Linked DNA regions of Rhinolophus ferrumequinum. The protein of the gene in region 1 interacts with the protein of each later gene in a pairwise test. Links are inferred from orthologs where the notes say so. Each region holds a gene or a part of one and is shown on either strand. Other genes may lie near its edges.

Region 1 (7,108 bases):
GAAGATATTTTGATGACATTCAGGACATCAAGTGTGTTACAGCCACAGCTCTGATGGCCATTCCAGAGAAAGAGTTCCAAAATTGCTTTGAAGGGTGGACTAGGCACTGGTGTTAGTGCATAGCTTCCCAAGGGGAGTACTTAGAAGGTGACAGTAGTGATATTCAGCAATGAGGTATGCAGCACTTTTTCTAGGATGAGTTTGCAAACTTAGTTTTCTGACCTCGTTGTAGATTTATTTATAACTACCCCAAACTGTAAGCAACCAAGATGTCTTTTAATAGGTGACTGGATAGATAAATGATGGTACATCCATACAGTGGAATGCTATTCAGTGATTGAAAAAAAAGCTATCAAGACACAGAAACACATGGATGAACCTTAAATTCATATTGCTCAGTAAAAGAAGCCAGTCTATAAAGGCTACATACTGTATGATCCCAATTATATGACATTCTAGAAAAAGTAAAACTACGGAAACAGTAAAAAGAGCAGTGATGGCCAATTGTTTGAGGGAAAGTAGGAAGGTTGAATAGGTGAAACATGGGATATTTCAGGGTGGTGAAACTATTTGTTGTGATATTCTACTGGTGGATACACAACATTGGCATTTGTCAAAACCTATAGAAGTATACAGCACCAAAGTGAACCTTAATGTTTGCAACATTTAAAAAAATTCTATAGGAGGTGTGGGGATTCAAGAATGAAATGCAGAACAACACAAAAGAATGTGTTTCAAATGTAGGAAACAACTTCATTGAAGGGGGTGGGGGAAAAGGTGCTGACATAAGTAATTTTGGAAATGAGTGAAGTCTGTAAGACTAAAATAAAACTATATATAAGCACTGTAATTTAATTGATAAACTTGAGCTGAATAATTAAACGGATGGAGGACTGTGGGAGCCTGGTTTCTCATTGCTGGAATGGGAATTTACAGATAGGCAAGAGGAGGCTAGAATGATCTATGTGGCAATAGAATGGGTAATATCAGTATGAACTCATGTATCTTAGTATAGATACAGACGGTCAAACAGAAATGTGTACACACATGGGTTGGAATATAAACATATTCATCTTTGTCAGTTAAGGGGCCTAGAAGGAATAACACTCCAGTAGCACTGAGCACAGTTTGCGTATCTTAGTTTCTAATACCATTCTCCAAGAAAAGGCACCAGAGCTTTTTGGAGAAATGATTGATTCTAGAACTGAGACAGGAAATACACAAGATGTGTCTGGAGCATCTTGTCACGCCAGACAGTAAGGAAGTGCTAAAACAAAATTAAACCCTATAATGATGAGGGCCAACCGAAAGAGCTCCCAATGGCCAGAGGTGGAACAATTTGAATAAGAAAATAAAATAGCATTGGATTTTAACCAAAAGTGTAAAATAAATATCCACGAGTCCATATTGATAAATAAATAATTGCATAACTAAATAAATGGGGGATAAGAGACAAATTTCCTATGCAGAAAAATTTGAAATAATTGATGTAGATACTCCATGCTGAAGAAGGTGCAACATAAACCCCTACTCCTTACATGTTAGAGTCACATAGTGACTTTCTTCCAAAGACTACAGTATGGAAAGGGAGGGAAAAAAAGAGCAACTTTACAGTGCAGAAACCTGACAAGTACGACCTCAGCCAGGTAATCAAGATTAACATCCTCAATGATAATCATGAGAAAAATCCTAACTCAGGTGCATTCTACAAAAATACCTGACCAATCATCCTTAAAATTGCAAAGGTCATCAAAACAAGAAAAGTTTGAGCAACTGTCGAAGGCCTGAGGAGCCTAAGGAGAGATGATGACTAAGTGTAATGTGATTAACTGGGTGGGATACTGGAACAGGAAAAGGACATTAGGTAAAAAAGGCTAAGGAAATTTAAATAAAGCACAGTCAAATCTGGGACAATTTGAGAAAATAAATATTGTTAATGTATTATCCCTCCGAATAAAAATATGAATCTATTGAATAAAACAAATCATGAGTCCAGACTGATATAAAATGAATAATTTGAAAGTTTGATGAGGAATTTGCATAGCTTTAAGAACTGACCCCCAAAATACTTGTTAATTACAAAGGGAAAAGGAGTAACTTTGCAGTGAAGTTTGGCAGACAACACTTTATTGAAATGTTCAGAGTTAGCATCACTGGAAATGGAACAAATGGAAATTGTGTGTTACTTGATAGGACGCAATGAGAATAGTCACACTTCTTAATAGTTCTGCTCGAAATGCCTAACCTGAGTCCAACCACAAAGAAACCTCAGGCAAACCCACGTTGAGTGTCATTCTATAACATCTGTCCTGGAATCTTCATGACTCTTTTATAGTGAGTTGTGTTCACGTGACCTATTTCTGGTTCACAAGATTTAAATGGAAGAAACTGGACTAGGCTTTAGGAAAAGTCATAAATTTTCTTAAAAAGGGGTAGACTAAGCTGGCATACACTTTTTGCCCTTTGTTCTACCCTTTTATTCTTACATCTTATAGATGCTATGCATAGATATGGAGGAATGCAATGCATTCCTTGTGATTGTGAAGAACTTAAGTCACAGATTAAGTGTTACAAAGCAGAAAAGGAGAAACAACCTGATTTCTTCAGCAATTTCACCATAGCTTCATGCTCTGTACTACATTTTCCCTTGTTTAATTAAATCATGGATGTCTAGTATCAGATGTGGCCAAATGCAAACTAATCAAAACAACTTCCTTTTCCCTTGTTTTTCTATATCAACCTATCTACTTCCCCTTCCTGATCCCAACATTTTTTTTGTTGGTCGTTTTATTGGTCTTGCCCTGTATTTACAAATTCACTTATGGACATCTGTTTTATGATGTTGAGCCTTCTTGAAGCACATGATATACCTTTTCATTTGTTCTAGTCTTCTTTTGTGCCTCAAGTAGGATTTAAAAGTTTTTGTCATAATTTTGCATGTTTCTACTATAAATACTATTTGTTCTTATTTGCCACATAATTGATGTGGGGTGGGGGAGACGTTTTTCCCCAAAAGAATCTGAAAAGACTTTTAATGTTATTTTAGTTAGTAATAAAAAAAATCAGTCAAGGTATAATTAAGGGGTTAAATATTTCAAGGTCAATTTGTAAATTAAAATTCACTTTTCTGTAACAAAAATACAATGTGTATATTCTATTTTACATATCAAACAAGTAAACATTACATGCTCAAGGTCAAGATTTTTACAGATTGGTAAAGCAGAAACTCCTGGGAAAGCTTCGTGCAAACACAAATTTAAGTTTACAAAACCTGGAAAGAAAGCATATTTATTTAATCTGGTTTATACTATTTTTAATGTCTTTAAGGTATCTAGTTTATATTTACTCTCCGGCCTTCTTTATCTTTGATTATAAGTGTGAATTCAGTGTGTTGTATTCTCAAAACCCTTGAACAGTACTTCAGAATGTCTTCATGGAACTTAAAGTTTGGAAGATACAAACATAAAACAATAAAAATCACACAAATAGGTAATTGCACACTGTCATGAAAAATGATTGGATGGATCTGAGCAAATAATACGAGATTAAATAAAAATGTAACATTTATTAACAGCTTAAATAAGTACCGATAAATTATGGAGTACAGTACAACACTCACATGACTGTTTCATATACTGGGAAAAAAAATCCACCAAAGCAAACCACCGAATCTTCAAAGCAATTTTGCCCTTCCGACTACCTTTCCGGCCAGCCTCCCGTCAGTTCATTCCTCCAGCACAGGGAAATTCTTTGGTTAGAAGGGCCCTTTGGTGGAAAACTTTTGAGATGTACGAACTTAACCTGTATGAGCTTCTAACTTACTCCGGGGATTTTAAGAGGAAATAGCTGAGAATGCTATTATCGTGCAAAGCGCATAATAAATGTATAGCGACATTAATCCTGCTCAGGGCGATCCCAATATACGAAGAAGGACAACTCCTCACTTTAATCTTCAAGTCTCTAAAACCTGGCGTTGGAGTAACCACAGGAACCAGATCCGCGCATGCTCTCTTGGTGGAACTGCGCCGGTTCTCTCCCTAGTCGGAAGTCCGGTTTGTTTATTAATTACGACAGTCGTAAACTAAGACTTCGTGATGGTTTCCTACTTTTACGACATCAACAACTATGGCGGCTGCCAGTGGTCGGTTTGAAAGTGAGAGGAGTATCCAAGAGCGTAAAGAGCAGACACGGATAGCCAGGGCCGAGGTGTTGCGCCAGGTAACTCCGTTTTGGGGTTTTGGGAACCATTTAGAATTGTGGCTGTTTCCTGGGAGCTAGGCCTCTGGCTCTCCTTCCTCCCTACCCCTTTTCTTCTCTCTCCATCAGTATCTCACCTTATCTGGGTCGAAACGGGGGGGGCGGTCTCCCTGTGGGATGCCTGCAAATTTTTGAGTATCTTCTCCCTCTTAGATGCTCTGGCAGGCTCCAATTGCTCATTTTCTTTTCAGGAAGACCTGTTTCTTTCCTCTGAGTTTCATTAACTTTTTACATAATGCGTTGACATTTCTATCACCTGGGCTGCGCACTTTCGAGGGACTACGCAACTAATGAGTCTCCCCAGCGTATGTCCCAGCCCCAGCCCTTACTCCTGCTGTTTGTGAAATGAAAATGTTCGTTTTCAGGAACACATGTAAGGCGCATTGGAGTAAATTGCGTTTGACCGTTTCATTCTCCTTTTGTACTATGGGTATCAGTTCCTGGCTTATTGTAAACCCTTACCGACCCAAACAAGGGTTGACACAACAGACCCAGGAAATTGCACCCCTTGAAAAAGACTGACAAACTATTTCTCATTAAGATTGAGATGCAGAGAGGTAACTTATAAAGAATGGAGGAAGTAAACTATGGAATTATCTGACAAAATGTAGGAAGTGTGGCAATGAAGGGAAAAATGAAGCAGAGAGCATCATAAAGTGTAAGTGAGAGTTTTTGTTTTTATTTGTTTTAAGATGGAAGAGTTTAAACGAGTTTAAATGCAGATGGGAAGTAGCAGGTAAAGGAGACAGGAAGGAGAAGATGTAATGACTACAGCCAGATTTTAAAGGGGAAGAGCGAGTGGGTGATTAATCTTAGACAGGTGAAAGGTCAGTATTGTTTTTTGATTTCAGCATATGAAACATATGTGTAACAAATATTTTTTATTTTTGTCTCTCTGATATTTCAGGCAGTGTTTGGAGGCAGTAGGTTTTGTAAGCTGTGATAAATTTTATAATAGAGATAAGCATAGAGTTTGAGAAGGACCAAGCCCAGCTTTCGAGTTTGGGAAGAGAATGAAAAAGCAGGAACAACCTTTTAGGAAGAACTTTATTTGAATATTGTTGAAGGATGAATAAAAATTCGCAATATGATCATTTTGTTTTTAGAAAGATGATTTTTCCTGAAGCATTTTTGGGGAGTGAGTAGAGAGTTATGGGCATTGCTGATGGAATGTATGGGGTATGGTGGTCATTCTCCTAACAATTAAAAATGTCTCAGGCGGTAGCACTGGGATGGTGAAGGGAAAAGAGTTTCAAGTCATACTTGAGATTGGAATCTTAAGGAAAGGGGAGGGTCTAGAATAGGTCCCAAGATTCTGTCCTTGATTGGTGGCTCTATTCACTAGAGATTCGTAATGGGCAAGGAGAGGGTCTTTTGTTTGTTTTTTTGTATTTTTGAAAATCTTTCCTACACTTTGGTAGAAGCGTAGGAAAAAATTACTGGTAAGAGACAGACTGTTGATTCATGAGAACATGTATGAAAGTGGGAGATTTTGTTTTACTTTTTTGTGAAACGCAGTTGGATCAATTGTTAATTTTTCTTTTTTCAATATTTTAGGCTAAAGCTAATTTTGAAAAGGAAGAAAGACGTAAAGAACTTAAACGACTTCGAGGTGAGGATACATGGATGTTACCTGATGTGAATGAGCGGATTGAACAATTCTCACAGGTGAATACTGTCAGGTCTACTTGATGTAAACACGTCGGACTGTTTCTGCATTTAATCTTGCAAGTTAATCTTGGAGGAGCAACTTTATAGACGGTTTTCAAGTTACAGAATGAATATCACATAGTGGGCATTACAGAATAGTTTTATCTCTTTGGCAGAAATAATATATTTTAATATTTTGGATATTGTGACTTTGGGTAGATTTTGTTACTTGAGTTGGCTGGTAGAGTTTCTGGCCCACTTGTAAGCTTATGGGTCTAAAAATGTATGCGTTTCAAGCTTAATGTCATGTGGGTTTTTCGTTTTTCTTCTTGTCTCAATTCTTGTTTTCTCTTTCCGTAATTTTAATTTATGCTATCTTGTTATATTTTAAATGTCCCAATAATCTTCTATAAATTCTTTTGGGGCCATAGAAGATATATACATATAAATGCATACACACATAAGTTTGTGTATATATGTTTTTATTTGATTATATCTGTTTGTCAAGTGAATCTACAAATAAATGAAAACTTCCCTCATATTTTTGGATAAGATATCTCAGCTCTATGATTTATTAGTAGTGCGTGTATTATAGAAGCATGTTAAGTTTTCTTAGAAGATTTTGTTCATGTAGTCATATTTCTTGTCTTAATTCATAAAAAAATTAAATATTTTTGGAACAGATTTTTTTTCTCTTAACATATTTCCTTTTAAAGTAAGATAAAACTAAATTCCTTTCTTAGTTTTGAAGAAGGTAATTCTTACCTCTTCAAAATGATTATTTATAGGAAAACTCTATGAAGAAAAAGAAGAAAAAAGACAAGCGTTCAAAAAAAGTAAAGAAAGAGAAGAAAAAAAAGAATAAGAAACAGAAGCATGAAAAAAACGAGTCAACTGATAGTTCATCAGTACGTATGTACTAAAACTAATCAAAGCACCTACTTGAGAAAATTTTATTTAAAGAAATAGTGTATGAGAACTTAAAAAATATTACCAGTTAGGATATGAAAAAGCTTGGGAGACATTTACTTGGAGATGTCAAGGAAATATTGGAAATAAGAATCTTAGGTTACAGAGAAAGGTAAGAAGATGGAGACGAAATTTGGGAATCATTGCTTATTAGAATAAGTGAATTGCCTCAGGAAACTGAAAAGAAAGATAAACACCAACACTGAGGAGCCAGACAGGAAGTAAAAGACAT
Region 2 (6,904 bases), on another chromosome or scaffold:
ACTACCTTATGACCCAGAAGTTCCACTCCTGGGTATTTATGCAAAGAAATTCAAAACACTGATTCAAAAAGATATATGCACCCTTATGTTTACTGCACCGCTATTCACAATAGCCAAGATATGGAAACAACCGAAATGCCCACCAATATGCGAACTGGATAAGGAAATTGTGATACATTTATACAATAGAGTATTACTCTGCAATAAAAAAGAATGAAATCTTACCATTTGCAACAAAATAGATGGACCTAGAGGGTATTATACTAAGTGAAATAAGTCAGGCTGAGAAAGACAAATACCAAATGATCTTACTTACATGTAGAATTTAAAGAACAGAATAAATCAACAAACAAGACAGAAATAGACTCATAGATACAGAAAACAGAAAACAGACTCATAGTTACAGATAACAAACTGATGGTTGCTAGATGGGAGAAGGGTTGGGGGGATGAGTGAAAAAGGTGAGGGGATTAGAAAATATTTACAAATTGGTAGTTACAAAATAGTCATGGGGATATGAAATACAGTATGGGGAATATAATCAATAATGTTGTAAAAACTCTGTATAGTGCCAGGTAGGTACTACACTTACGAGGAGCATCACTTCATAAATCATATAAATGCCTAATCACTACCCTGTACACCTGAAACTGATATAAAATAATAGTAAATGTCATTGAATTTCAACTATAAGTTAAAAAGCTATATAGTCACAGAATGTACGGTATAGGGAATAGAATCAGTGGTATTGTAATAGCTTTGTACAATGTCAGGGGGGTAGTAGACTTGGTGGGGTGATCACTTTGTGAGGTGTGTGTAAATGTCTAACCACTACGTTGTTTTGCACATGTGAAAGTAACAATAAAAACATACAGAGAGGCAGCTGCAAGAAGAGTCTACCTAGAGTTGTCAGCCTCCGGTCTTCTCCTTGTGCCTCCTGACTCATGTGGAAATGAATGACTCTTGGAAGAGAGTAGGGATGGTTCTCAGGATGGGGAGACTGTGAAATGTTGACACTAAACTGAGGCACCAGGAGCGCAGCAGATATTTTCATTTTGACCTTCAAATATTTTCAAAAGATGGAAGCAGGATCCCTAGGAGGAAACCAGAAGCAGATGGATTTCAGGCTTGTATCATGAAAGGCCTCCAGGCTAGTCCCTTCTAGTACAAAGACTCTGTGATATTAAGATTTTGTAATTCCCTGCTCTCTATCATTTAAAATTGAAGGAGAGATAAAGAGCTGCCCAGAAAAGAATAAGCTAAAGGAATTCATTACCACCAATCCAGCAGTGCAGGAAATGTTAAAAAGGGCTTCCGTAAACAGAAGAAAGATGAAAATAATCTAATTAATAAAGACCAGAAATACAAATAACAAAATGGCAATAACTATGTACCTACCAATAATCGCTTTAAGTGTAAAAGGATTAAATGCTCCAATTAAAAGATATAGGGCCGCTCCGTGGCTCAGTTGGTTGGAGCGCAGACTCTCAACCACAAGGTTGCCTGTTGGATTCCTCGAGTCCCACAAGGGATGGTGGGCAGCGCCCCCTGCAACTAAAGATTGAACTAAAGATTGAGCTGCCGCTGAGCAACCAGATGGTCAGATGGCTCAGTTGGCTCAGTTGGTTGGAGCGCATCCTGTCAACCACAGGTTGCCGGTTTGACTCCGGCAAGGGATGGTGGGCTGTGCCCCCTGCAACTAACAACGGCAAATGGACCTGGAGCTGAGCTGCGCCCTCCACAACTAAGACTGAAAGGACAACAACTTGAAGCTAAACGGCATCCTCCACAACTAAGATTGAAAGGACAACAACTTGACTTGGAAAAAATCCTGGAAGTACACGCTGTTCCCCAGTAAAGTCCTGTGGAAAAAAAAAATCTGTTCCTCCAGAGATTTAGATAGATAAGGTGTTCTATCAGTTTCATCTTTCTCAAGGAGTTTCTCCTGATACCTTCTGACCTGTGTCAGTCTGTCGAGTGCACAGTGTTGTCCAGGCATTACTTCATTTTCTCCTGTGTCGTATCTTCTGTTTAATATGTCCTATGTCTTCTTTTTTCTTTGTTTAGTCCTTCATATTAGTGGAGCAGAACCTCCAGTAGCTTCCTGGGAAAGGAGAAGGGAAATGTTTTGAGACCTTGAATGTCTGAACGCACCTTTATTTTTTACCCACATTTGATTGGTAGTTTACTAGTAAAGCTAAATTTTCAGTTTGAAATAAATTTCCTTTTGAAATTTGATAGAATTATTCCCATGTCTTCTAGCTTTCTCTGTAACTGTTGAGAAATGGAAAGATATGCTGAGTCTTGAGCCTTTGTTTTCTCTCCCAAAGCTTAGGGGTTATCTTTTTGCCCCCAGTACTCTGCAGTTTCACAATGATGAGCCTTGGGGTCAGTCAATTTTTATCCATGTGCTGGGCAGTCAGTGGGCTCTTTTAATGTGGCAACTCATGATTTTTAGTTTGGAAAAATTTTCTTGTTTTATTGATGATCATGCCTTCCCTAACCCCTGTTGGTTTTTTTTTTTTTTTTCCTGAACTCTTATTTTTCAGATTTTGGGTCCCCTGGAGTGGTCCTCTAATTTATTATTTTTCTTTTGTATTTTTCATTTCTTTGTTCTTTTGTTTGTTTTTCCCCTAGAATATTTCCCGACATTTATCTTCCAACTTTTACTGAACTTTTCATTTCTGCTATCATATATATATATATATGTATATATGTATATATATATATATATATATATATTCTGTTATATTATGGTTGCAATGGTATCTGATATCTCAGGATACTGATTATATATATAATTTTCTTTTTATTGGGAATATTGGGGAACAATGTGTTTCGCAAGGGCCCATCAGCTCCAAGTCGTTGTCCTTCAGTCTAGTTGTGGAGGGCACAGCTCAACTCCACATTCAGTTGCCGGTTTCAATCTTTAGTTGCAGGGGGCACAGCCCACCATCCCATGTGGGAATTGAACCGGCAACCTTGTTGTTTAGAGCTTGCATTCTAACCAACTTAGCCATCTGGCCAACCCTTAGAAGCTCAGTGGCAGCTCGTTTTCTTCAATCTAGTTGTGGAGGGTGCAGCTCACTGGCCCATGTGGGAATCAAACCGGCAACCATGTTGTTCAGAGCTCGTGCTCTAACCAACTGAGCCATCCAGCTGCCCCCATATAATTTTTAAAAACGTTTTCTCCTCACTGAATGGTTTCTGTTTCCTCTAAGAGTTGCTGCTCTGGCCCCCACCCTTATTTATGTCTCTGTGGCACCACCACCTTCCATGTTTGTTTTGAAGTCAAATCCAAGAGTCCTCTACCTATCTCTTGCTATCAGGTATCTCCTATTCCTCCTACCCAGCAAAGAGCAGGTATGGTAGGGTATTGGCACTGGGTAAAGTGCATATTAAATGCTGAATCCTTTTCCTCTATTCAGCTCCCAGAAAGTTTATAACCAGATCTGCATCCTCCAGACAGGACATTGGAGGGTTATCTCTAGTTGAATCTGATCAGCCTGAAAGGAAAGATGCAAAAATAATGACATTGGAAGTTCTCCAACTAAACAGCCCAACCAAATTACATTAAAGATAGTCAACAAGCCCACCCTTACACCTTCATCTGGAATATCATCTAAAATATAAATTGAAATGATTCATACTGAATTTATGGTGTGGAGGGAGGGATATCTTCAAGCTCCATCATTAACGGCCCCAGGGAGCTGGAGGAGGTTTTACAGGGGCTGGGAAGGACCGCCCCCTTTCACCCGAGAGCCTCCGGGGCTGCGCCCAATTCCTAAGCGGCCTTCCCGGCCCCTGCCGGCAGGGGGCGCCACCGCGCACGGCCGGCGGCTGCGACGACAGGGCCTCTCTGGGAGAAGAGGAAGAAACCAAAGAGACGGGGAAAGGAAGTTGCGGTGGCGCTCCGCCCTGCAGTCCGCGAGACTGAGTTGGTGTCTGGTAGCTGGCCGGAGCCGGGCTCCACGCGCCACGCTGGCTGCTCCTGGAGCCGAGGATTTACCCGGAGGCGCGATGCTGGGGTCCGGCCAGATCGGCGAGGCGCCCGCAACCCCGGTGAGGCGGCCCTGATGGCCTGGGGAGGGGACACTGGTGGGCCAGTGAGGTGGCACAGATCTCCCAGAGGGGATTGTTTCCGTGGCGGCCGGGTTGAGGACGTGTTTCTCGTGACCCGAGAGAGATGGCTCTTGCAACCCTGGTGAGGTGGCACAGACCTCCCAGGGGAGGTAGTCCCAGAGAGGTGGCTGTGGCGATCCCGGTGAGATGACACTTGTCTCTGGGGAGGTGACCCTGGCGGCTAGGCAAGGTAACGCCAACGGTCCTGGGGAGGTGGCGGTGGTGGCCCTTTTGGAACCTGCATCAAACAGCCCCGGTCGCTCAGGAATGGGCCCGGCTCCGGCCAGCGACCCCGGGGGAAGGGGTCTGGGTCCTCGTGGTCCTCCAGTGTATGTTCTCTTGCATGAGTTCGTTTGCTACTTAAGTCTTAATGTGTTTGTTACACCTCTTCTTCTAGTGCTGCTCTGAAAGTGATGATGAAAGGAAGAACTTCAAGGAGAAAAGTAAGCGACTTCAAACACCTTAGCACTGTCTGTCTACCCAGCCAGCTCTCCAAACTCTGCCTTCCAGTGTCTGCAACCGAGAAGGGTCTTACCCTGTTATGTTTTAGATGAAGTATTTATTTTTCCTGCATAGTATGCTTGCATAGTATTAAATACTGATTATCGTTATACACATTTTTTTGTCTTTCTAAAATTCTAAAATATGGGATGATTTAGAGAAGAGCACTTCCTGACTCCTATCTCGTGCAGAGACTGAGTGGTTTCACGGGAGTTCTGCCCATCAGACTAATTCAAAATAATTGGGGCCTGCCTGTTATTAATATTTTAATGCAGCATCAACTTTTTAAGCATCAGGAATTTGGAGGGGCTAATGATCTAGGAGACATGCCTGCCACTTTAATTGTGTTCAAAGAAGTTTAGCTCATTCAAGAAGTTTAGATCATTGTTTAGCTGTAATTGACCAGTGAATTTGCACTTAAAAATTGATCTGGAAAGAAAACAATGGATAACTTGGTTCCTGGATCTTGGACTGGACAAGGAAGAGGGAAAAGGTACCTCCATTTCCTACCTTGGACAGGAGCATATGTCAGGGATGTGGACATTTGTCGTTTTACTTTAATGAGCTCAGCGTGGCAGGCTTTTGGAAATCAAGGAATCATCAGGGGCTTTTGAAGTAGAATTTATTGGGGGAGGAAGCAAAAAGGATGTAACAGCTATTCCATCAGAGGGTTTTTGGTTCTTCTGACCAGGGCAGAAATAGTCTGGGAATGAGTAGTGGTAAGAGAAAAAGGTGCCCATGTTACCGTGTTGGCTTTAAGAGCTAGGCTTGTCCTTAACATTGTCTACTGATGTAATCTGCATCAGACAGAAAGCCTTTAGTAGTCCATAGCCCTTGACAATCATAGCTGCCACAACTCAGCTCCTTTTCCTTAGAGGATTTGAGAGTACCCCATGTCTTTCAGTTAAACCCTTCCCTTTTCCACCTTTGCCCCATTCATGTCTGGGAAGTTAGTGCCTATTGAGCTCTCATGTTTGTAAAATGATCGATGCAGACTATAGACTTTGCCCTTGTCCCTCCTTTGGCTAGGGCCACTTCTTTGCAATTTATAGTAATGCTCGGTACAAAAAGTAGAGAATAGGAGAGACATAAAACCTCCAAACCACTAGCGTGTTATTTTGAAGAACCTAATTTGACTAAGAATGTACTATGCTGCATTTAATTGGTTATATAAAAAGAGTATAATATTTTAAAAAGTGAAGATAGAATTTACTCCCTTAGCATTCACAAAATAGTCCCTTTGCACGTAGCCCTGCCTCTGCAGGCACGTAGTGTCTGCAGATGTACCACGTAACTCAGTTGTTTAAGATAAAAAAAGAGAAGACATTGTAATTCCTGTACATGACCATAAATGGTTTTCTGTATTAGTAAAGTCTGATGTGGACCAGCTAATTCTGCTCATATTTGAAGAAGAGAATAATATTGGATTGAGAGTCAGAAAGCCAACATGGCATAGTCAGCAAAGGTATACCTGGAGAGACTCGGAAAAAGGAGCAGTGCTGTTGGTCCACAAATCTAGGACAGTGGAAAATAATTTAATTGCCTTTCAAGTGGATTATGTGTTTACTAGAAATTTGTTTTTTTGAGTGTTTTGTTTAGATAAAAATGGAAAAATTATTATAAGGAGTGGACTCTGGAAAATATCACATACTAAATGGGATGAGACAAAACTATCCAAAGCTAGTAAATGTTGCCTCTGCTGCTATTCTTCTCCAAGAAATGGTTTCAGGGTTCCAAATCACCTGTTTTTGTCACATTTAAGAAGTCCAATGTGAATTAATCCAAGTCTAGTTTATTTGCCATGGAAAGATTCTCACTTAAGACTGTACAATTTAGTGCATGCCTTAGTCGTTTTGAATTTTTCCTAGTAATTTGTGTTTTCTCTCATTTCCTTTAAAATTTTTTTTTCTGTTTCTGACATGGACATCTTCATACAATGGCATTTGAAGCTTTTAACACTTTTTTGCTCTTATAGAAGGAGGAGTTTTTACTCATTTCAAAATTTTTTCCTATGCTTGAAATTTTTTAATACTATTTTTTTTTCTTGACACCTTGAAGTCAGAGTCCTCCTTTGTTGTTATTTAGACCATACCATCTGGTTCCTTACAGATTTTGGAAATATATTAGACCATATATTAAAACCATACCAATAAAATCAGATTTGTCCTTGTTTTCCCAGTAATAAAATAGATTCTTAACATATAAGGTCTCCTGGAAATGTTTAATATCTATTTGTAACTGCACTGTCATGCAAATATCTGTTGAAACCTGTGGTTACTAG
Region 3 (8,003 bases), on another chromosome or scaffold:
TTCCTTCAGCAATTTCCAAGCTGATACAGAGCAAAACACTGTGGGGGAGACCCCCCCCCCACCCTCACAGCCCTTACAGCCAGAGCCAGTAACTCACAGCTGTGGTTACCCGCGCGCTGATTTCTGTTTTAAAAAATACTGCTGGATAAACAGTGAGGGAAACCCGAGCTGTTCCCACACCACATAAATCCCCAGTTTGCTGTCCTATCTGGTTAGCTGGTTTTCCCCCAAATAATGGCACTGCTGCCTTGCAAGCAAGGGCTGCAAAAGTGCGCCCCGGGAAGTGGGTGACCAGGAGTCTCCCAGGCTGGCGCCCTGCCCAGCCAGCACTGGTGGCCTCACTCCTTCTCTCTTTCAGCACTTCCTGCCCAGGGGCACTCACCTTTGTCCTCACTCTCTCCACCTTGATGCCCTTCCTCCCTCTTTCCTCTTCCCTTCTGCTTTGTCTCACTCAAAAGGCCTCCATGGGAGACCTTCCTGGGGGACCCTGGGCTCCTCCTGCAACCAGAAGGCCCACAGCCAAAGGCAAACCTACCCAACTACCACACACCCTGCTGGAATGCTTCCTTTAGAGTTTCCTTCCAGAACCTTCTGTCAAAGTGCAAATATCCTGGCTGAGAAGGTAAGGCCTGAGCCTTCTTCATCAGGATGACTTTGGTCTTAGATTAAGGTTTCCAGACTTAGGGGGGCAAAAAAAGACACCCAGCTAAATTTGAATTTCAGACAAACAACAAATAACTTTTTAGCATACGTCACCAGTATCGCATGGAACATATTTAACCGGGCTCCCTGTATTTTATCTGGTTGCCCTTACTTAGAGCCTTTCCTTTAGTTCAACACACCTCTAACTCCTTCAGGCACAGAAGCCCTAGAAAGGGCATGTTTGCTGAGCACCTCCTGAGTGTATGTATGTGGTCTACACAGCAAGCCTCCACTTTGCAGTTGAGGAACACGAGGTCACGTGACCTCCAAGAGCCAGGGTTCTGATGCAGGCCCCTCTATGTATTGGGTTTTTCAGTCATCTGCCCAGAATCTTAGTAACAGACAAGGTATGACTAGCACCAAATGTTTAAAAAATATATTCATGAGAGAAAACATTCGACTGAGGAAACTCTCATTAACTCAGTGTTTTCTGGGATTTAAGAAAAGACCACATTATTGGTTCCCTAGGGCGGAATGTCTTGGCCCCACCTTGCAGGCTTCACAGGGGCACCTGCAATAGTCCTGAGGCCTGCATTCTGTGGTTTACTCAACCCTGTCCTGTCCATCCTATTATTTGAGCCTCACAAAGTCCTATGGGGTAGTATGACCCTGCTGCCGTAAAGCTTTCTGAGGAGCAAACGACATACACAGTCCAAATAAATGCCAGGCCCAGGGGTAAATATCCTAATCCAGTGTGAGTTCCACCATATTCAACGCTTGTCTGTCTCCTGTTTCCATCCCCTGAGGTCTTGCTCAGTAACAGGTGTCTTGTCCAGTTCACATGTTCAGTATTTCACAGGACCTTCTGGAGTTGTCCTTAAGGAGAAAATCTCAGGTATTTTCTTCATCATCGTCATCCAGCTATTACCACTGAAAACTGTGTACCAGATTTTGGTGAGAGCTTTCCTACTTCACCTCACTCACTTCTCTCAGCAACCTAATGGGGAAAGAAGAAAAAGCTTACTCCCGTTTTACAAATGAGAAAACTGAGGCTCAAGTGATCAAGTGAGTTGCTCAAGGCCATTCAACTTACTAGTGGCAAAGGTAGGATTGGAACCCATGCCCTCCTGGTTCCCAAGGCCATGATCTTGACCTTCTGTTATGTTGCCATAGGAAAAGGTATTGGGGGGCTTGGATGGGCCATCTTCATCCTCCACTGAGATGTGACATGCCCTGTGGTCCAGCAGAATAAAGAAAGAGAAGGCATAATAATTCTCCACATGTATCACCCTTTATAGTCAGCCAGCTCTTTTCACAGACATCAGTTCATTTATCCTCAGAACAGCCACAGGAGGCTGGTACTGTCATCTTCATTTTGCCAGTGAGAAAACCGACGCTCAGGAAAGGGGTGTAACTTGCCTGAGACCCCACAGCTGAGGAAAGGCAAGAGAGAAGACTTGAATTCAAGTCTTCTGCCTAAAGGCCCCAGGTTCTCCCTCAGGCACCCTGCAAGTCCCCGCACAAATGGGTGGGGTGGCCAAGCACAGAAGTGGGTCTGTAGTGCCAAGGACACGCCTGTTTGTCATGCGTAATGGGGGAAATTCCAAAAGTTCTTTGGGATGGCTCAGGTGTGGCCCTCCTCAGGGGCCCTCAAGAACCCTCCCCCTAACGCACGCTTTTCCTTTTCCTCCCCCTACCACCCCCAACAACAACCAGAAACGGGAGCCCCTCCCTTCCTGAAAACCCTGCTCTTCTTGGCCGCCCAGCCTCAGGGTTGAGCCTTTTTTCCACAAACAGCCACTTCCATCCATCTCTGTCTCGTGGGCCTGTGGGGCCTTGACAGGGAAATGCTGACTTTGAGGAGGTTAAAGGTGCTGGTGCCCGGCCTTCATCTAACAAATGGGTTGCCGAGAGGGGAGGAACCGCTGTTGTTTTTTCCTGGCCTCAGAAGAGGGGCCTGTCAGGAAGATGTAGAGGCCAGCAGGGCCCCCAGCCGCGCCCTGCAGGGTAGCTGACAGACACCGGCAGCTGTGTGGGCGCCGGGGTGCCAGGGCCCTGCACAGAGTACCCCTGCTACGCCCCCTCCCTGCTGCCCCTCCTGACCTCTCCACCCACTCCACCATGACCCAGGGCCCACCCCTTCTAGGGGCAAAGGGCCAGGCGGCTGGGTCTCCCTGGGATGGGGTCCCTGGACCAGATGTGAAGGCAGAGCAGGAATCTGGTTACAGCCTGCCGGGGCCAGGCCCCAGGAAGGTTTACCTAGAGAAGCTGACAGACCAGATATTCCTCCCAGAATATCTGAGGGATTCCTTCTAGAGCCCCCACAACCTGGAGCGTCTCGAGGGACCTCTCAAGGCTGTTTCTGTAGAATTTCTCAGTGCTCCCCAGTCCTACAGTCTCCCTTTGGAATCGTTGAGTTAAGAATGAGATATGCTAGAAAGCGAGCCTCATTTATCTGTTACCTACTTCACAATTCACATAAATTATTCATTTAAAAATTTCAAATGTCTGTGCAGTAGGCATTCTGATGCAGTGGGGCCAGGCTGCCTGGATTTGAATTCTGGATCTTCCATTTCCCAGCTATGTGACCTTGTGCAGGTTACACAGTCTCTCTGTGCTTCAGAGTCCTCTTCTGAAAAATGGAGATGATGAGAGAAACAATTGCCTCAGAGGGCCTTTGTGGGGATCCATTGGGGGAATATATGTGAGATGCTAAGATCAGTGGATGAATGTCCGCTATCATCAGTGGATGAATGGACTATCATCCCAGATGAGGGAACAGAGAAGCTCAGAGAGGTGAGGTTTCTTGTCCCAAGACACACAGCGAGAAAGTGGCAGACCCAGGATTTAAACTCACATAGGTTTAAGCCCAAAGTCCATGCATCAGTCCAAGCTGCTCCAGACACCTGAAGACAATTCCTGGTTCTGCCATTTCTTAGCTGTGTGATTCTGAGCAGCCCATGTCATCTGTCTGAGCCTCATTTCGCTTGCTTGTAAAAGTAGAACTCAATTCTCACTTTACCCATACTGGGGGAGTGGTGAGCTTCAGAGAAGAAATGTGTATGCAACAGCAGAGTCCCAGACAAAGCAAAGAGATGAGTCTAGTTTGTGGCTATGGCTCCATCCCCTCTGCTGCCCTACAATGCCCATTCCAAAAGATGAAATACCTGTTTCAAGAAGAGCATGTACGCAGCCTCCAGGCTGCAGAGCTAAGACCCCTCCTCCTTTGAAACCAGCCAGCAAAGATGGAATGGTCCGTGCCCATTTCAGCCCCAATCGTGCCACTCTGGATCATGGAAATATTCAGTGGGAGAGGAGCTCTGGGCTCGTGGGCTGGGACTGTCATCCTCCAAGAAACTACATTAACCCTCCAGAAAGACCAGCGAGGCCGTGGGATGAAGTAGAGGGACTGACTGGTTAAAATGGCAATTGGCCCTCCTGTGATAGGTACCAGCTAGGAAGACCACGTGACTGTTTGCCAAAGAGAACTCCTTTGGGAATGAGAATACCCCTGATTCTATTTCTGTGCCCCAAAGTCCATGGAAGCCTTGGCCTCTGGGAGTGGAGAGGGGGAAGCAGGTTGGTGAAGGTTAGGAGGCCAGGGAGCAGGTGGGGGAGGCCTGGAGAAACTTCAAGGACTTTACCTACAGAGGCTTTCCTTTGCCGTGGAGAAAAATGACTTGAAACCCCTCTAGAGAAGAGTGTGGCTAATTGGCATTAAGTTGGGGGTTAAAGAGCGGAAGGAAGAATCTGATTGTTTTTTTAAGTTACTGAGAAAGTGAGAATGTCACTTTGGGCAGAGAGAAAAAAATTTTTTCTGGAGTATGTCTTTCTTTATACCACAGACCCTAGTGGGCCACGGAGACTTGCAAAAAAAGATTTCTTTTAATCCACCTTCCTTTTTGCAAGCAGCAGTAGAAGGGCTTTTAAATCAAATGCAATCAGCAAACTTGTCTCTTGCACTTATTCCCTGCTTCACTCCCTGGAATTTGGCACTTGATGGATTCTGGATCTGACTTAAGGCTTTTTCCAAATCCAAGACTTGGGGAATTTTGTTAACAGTGCAATAAAATAACTTCATAGTGTTACAGGAGGCACATTAAAGAAGTTGTGTGTGTGTGTGCTGCTCTCTCTCCTTCAAAAAAAAATACAGACAATGTTTCTTTAAAAGTCTCCATCTGCAAATCCCATTAGATGTGCATATAAGGTTTCCGATGATTAATAGTTGCCTGCTCGGGTTTTGGTTGGAGGGGATCGTGTGGGTGCGGGTTAACCCCTCCCTCTCCTCTCTCACATTTCACTTCAGAAATTTGTCACTCTCTCCCCACCGCAGCATTTAAAAGTGTGTCTCAGCAGCCCTGGTCCGGCCCTCTGCAGGCATTTGCTGTGGGCTCCAGGACGAGCACTCCATCAGCTGGTGCTTCTGGGCTGGGACAGTGAAAATGTTTAGTGTCATCGGCAACAAATACATGTACAGGGGACCCCAATAGGCAGGCTGGTGTGTCGGGGAGCAGGAAGCCAGGAGTGAAGTCCGACAGAGGTGTGTGTATACATATACGTGTAGCTGGACACATGTGCGCGGACTTTAAAAAGCGACTTTAGTTTTGGTTTTTGTCTCGGTTCCTGGGGTGAACTTTCTATTGAACATTTTTCCCTCCTATTTGATTTTTTTTTTTTTTGCATTTTTAAAAATTTGAATATAAACAGTGTAAGAATCAAACCTTTGAAAGACTGAGGCGTGCAGCAGACGGCAGATGGATCCTGTGGCCAGCAGCTGCATGAGGAGCCCCCACCCCCCAGCTCCTGTCTGGGGCTGCCTTCGAAATCCCCACTCCGAAGGCAGTGGGGCCTCAGGGCTACCCCACTACCCGCCAACCCCATTCTCCTTCCACCAGAAACCAGACTTCCCGGCGACAGCGACAGCAGCATACCCCGACTTCTCGGCCTCCTGCTTGGCGGCCACCCCACACAGCCTTCCCCAGGAGGAGCGCGTCTTCACTGAGCAGCACCCTGCCTTCCCACAGCCCCCTGACTGGCATTTCCCTGTCTCCGAGACCCGGCGCAGGCTCAACCCAGGCCCAGCTGGGGGCTCTAGGGAGATGGGGGCCAGCAGCCCAAGCCTGATGGACGCCACGGGAGGCCCAGGTGAGGACTACGAGGTCCTTGGAAGCACTGCCAACGAGACAGAGAAGAAGTCAACTAGACGGAAAAAGGAGAATTCAGGTAGGTGGCTGAAGAGCAGCTGACCATTCTTTTACTGTGCAATCTTGGAGAGGTCACTTGCTCTCTCTGAGCTCAATTGCCCTGACCCATGAATTGTGACCAGTACTATCTAAAGGCAAGAATTACCTTTGGGATTTCTTCTACTTCAGAGTTCTAGAATCCTCTGGTGATGGGGGCTGTGTCTGTGTTCCCAGCACTCCTGGGCCCTAGGAAGGATGTGCCAGCAAGAGAATAAAACAGGATCCACAGAGACTTGGAGGATATGTGGGATGGAGCCTCAGTACAAGCTGGCAAGGGCTGGAGAAGGGCTTTCCTGAACCCCAGCAGCCTCTGGGTCATGCTTCTCCCCACCGTGCTCCAGCTGGATCCAAATGATCTGCAGAGCCCCAGGGTTTGCTCAACAGGGCAGTCAGAGGCTTGGAGGGCTAGGACTGAGGCTAGCACCCTGGGCAGTCAAGCAGAGCCAAGATCCTATGACTCCAGGAGACTGGAGGCAGAGAAGCAGGCCTAGGGCTGGGATGAGAGCGGCAAGGAGTAGGGAAGCTGGAGTATGAGATTTGGGGCAGACTGCCCACAAGGTATCACCCTGCCCAGTTGGACTGTGCCCAGGCCAAGGGGGCAGCTCAGTATGCTAAGTTCTCGTTGACCCCCAGAAAAGGCCCTCCTAAGGGGTCACTGGCCTTGGGGAGAGTCAGGAAGGCAGGCAGCTGAGGGCAAGCACTGGACCTCAGAATGCAGGTAAAACCCCGCTCGGTGTTGGAGCCCCAGAGGCCAGAGGATGGAGTTGGTTGGCCCACTTGTTGAGATCCCAGCTAAACTCCATCTCCTCCCTGTGGTAGAAACCTGTTGTTTCCTCCTCTCCCCATGGGGGCATCCCCGGCTTCTCTCGCTGCCTATTCACCTTTCCTATCATTCTTTGGCCCCGCCTTGCCCAAAACAAGGCAGTGTCCATGCCTCCTGCCCCCATGGCCCGCTATGTCCTCCTGACAGCCGCCCTTGGGGCAACATCTGTACCTACGGAGGACCTTCTCATGGGGCTAACCAGCACAGGCAGAAAATGAGAGTGCCAACCAACCAATGAGAAGGTGCTTTGCAAAGCACCTTCAATGTAGCACAAATTTCCCAAGTATCTTCTCTTTGTCAATCACTGGCCAAAGCACTGGGGATGCAGAGATGAATAAGATGGTCTCGACCCTCCCCCACCCAAAGAGTTTAAACTGAGAAGGCAGAGAGGTCTGCAGATGCCTGTCTGGCAGTGGATGTGCTATAATCAGGGAGGTTCAAGGTACGGTGGGCAACACTCATTAGTTCTTTTTGAGTCCCAGCAGTTTGCGAGGCAAGTACAGCAAGTCTTACCAGTATCTTGGTTCTTACACGTGTGGAAAAGGAGATTCGGAAAATTTGAGGGGATCCCTGCTAGGATGGAGTCTAAAGAGAGTGAACCACTCATCTCAGTTTGCCCAGGACTTCTCTGATTTTAGCATTGAAAGTCCAGTGTGCCAGAAAACCCTCAGCTCCGCACAAACCAGGACAGTTGGTCACCCTCGAAGTGAGCTCAAACCCGGAACTTCAGATCCCAGATCCCACACCCTTCAGTAGGTTTCAAGCACAATAGTCATTTTGACATATTTGGTCTCCATGCTTGAAGAATCCCCTCAACACACTCATAATAGATGGGAATGACCACAACCCTCCTGGCTGTTCAATAGAAGGGACTTTTAAATCGTCAACCGGTTAAATCCTGAATTACTCCCAGCCCTGGTTGGAGATTTGCCGATGATCGGGCACTTTCTGCTTCTTCTCTCCAAGGAGCTCTCAGCAACTTGGTCCTGTGCCTGGCTGAAGAGCTCTCCCCTCTGTGGGCCGGCCACCGTAGCTCCATCTCTGCCCACACCTCCCTTGGCTGCATCCAGCCACTTTCCTGGGAACTGGGAGCCAAGGCACTGGGAAGGCATGGGCAAAGCCAAGGGCTGGGCTTAGGCAAAATCATTCCGTGTTTCAGCAAGATCCAAATGAGTGTCTTTCCTTTTGGCCGGTGGCCCATGGAACTGCATTAGGGAGTAAGCTCTCATGCCAAGCAGCTGACCATCCCCAAAAGCACATGGGCACCCTCTCCTGAATGCCCTGCACTCTTCACA

What was found.
Region 2: the proteins of CWF19L2 (region 1) and RINT1 interact in binary tests that used the Homo sapiens proteins (3 or more experiments, as listed by UniProt). The two-hybrid records come from large-scale screens. The link is inferred for Rhinolophus ferrumequinum from reciprocal best matches to the Homo sapiens genes CWF19L2 and RINT1.
Region 3: the proteins of CWF19L2 (region 1) and MEOX1 interact in binary tests that used the Homo sapiens proteins (3 or more experiments, as listed by UniProt). The two-hybrid records come from large-scale screens. The link is inferred for Rhinolophus ferrumequinum from reciprocal best matches to the Homo sapiens genes CWF19L2 and MEOX1.

What each region holds. Positions count from the first base shown.
Region 1 is NC_046294.1:76,275,370-76,282,477, reverse strand, and holds the start of CWF19L2 (CWF19-like protein 2), read left to right. Parts: upstream 1-4,095; 5' UTR 4,096-4,125; coding exon 4,126-4,218; intron 4,219-5,814; coding exon 5,815-5,925; intron 5,926-6,695; coding exon 6,696-6,815; intron 6,816-7,108.
Region 2 is NC_046303.1:48,938,041-48,944,944, forward strand, and holds the start of RINT1 (RAD50-interacting protein 1), read left to right. Parts: upstream 1-3,937; 5' UTR 3,938-4,020; coding exon 4,021-4,062; intron 4,063-4,519; coding exon 4,520-4,565; intron 4,566-6,904. Other genes in the region: serine/threonine-protein kinase MARK2-like, read left to right, coding at 3,815-3,937. UniProt on the Homo sapiens protein: Involved in regulation of membrane traffic between the Golgi and the endoplasmic reticulum (ER); the function is proposed to depend on its association in the NRZ complex which is believed to play a role in SNARE assembly at the ER.
Region 3 is NC_046304.1:38,913,203-38,921,205, reverse strand, and holds the start of MEOX1 (homeobox protein MOX-1), read left to right. Parts: upstream 1-4,998; 5' UTR 4,999-5,396; coding exon 5,397-5,865; intron 5,866-8,003. UniProt on the Homo sapiens protein: Mesodermal transcription factor that plays a key role in somitogenesis and is specifically required for sclerotome development. Required for maintenance of the sclerotome polarity and formation of the cranio-cervical joints.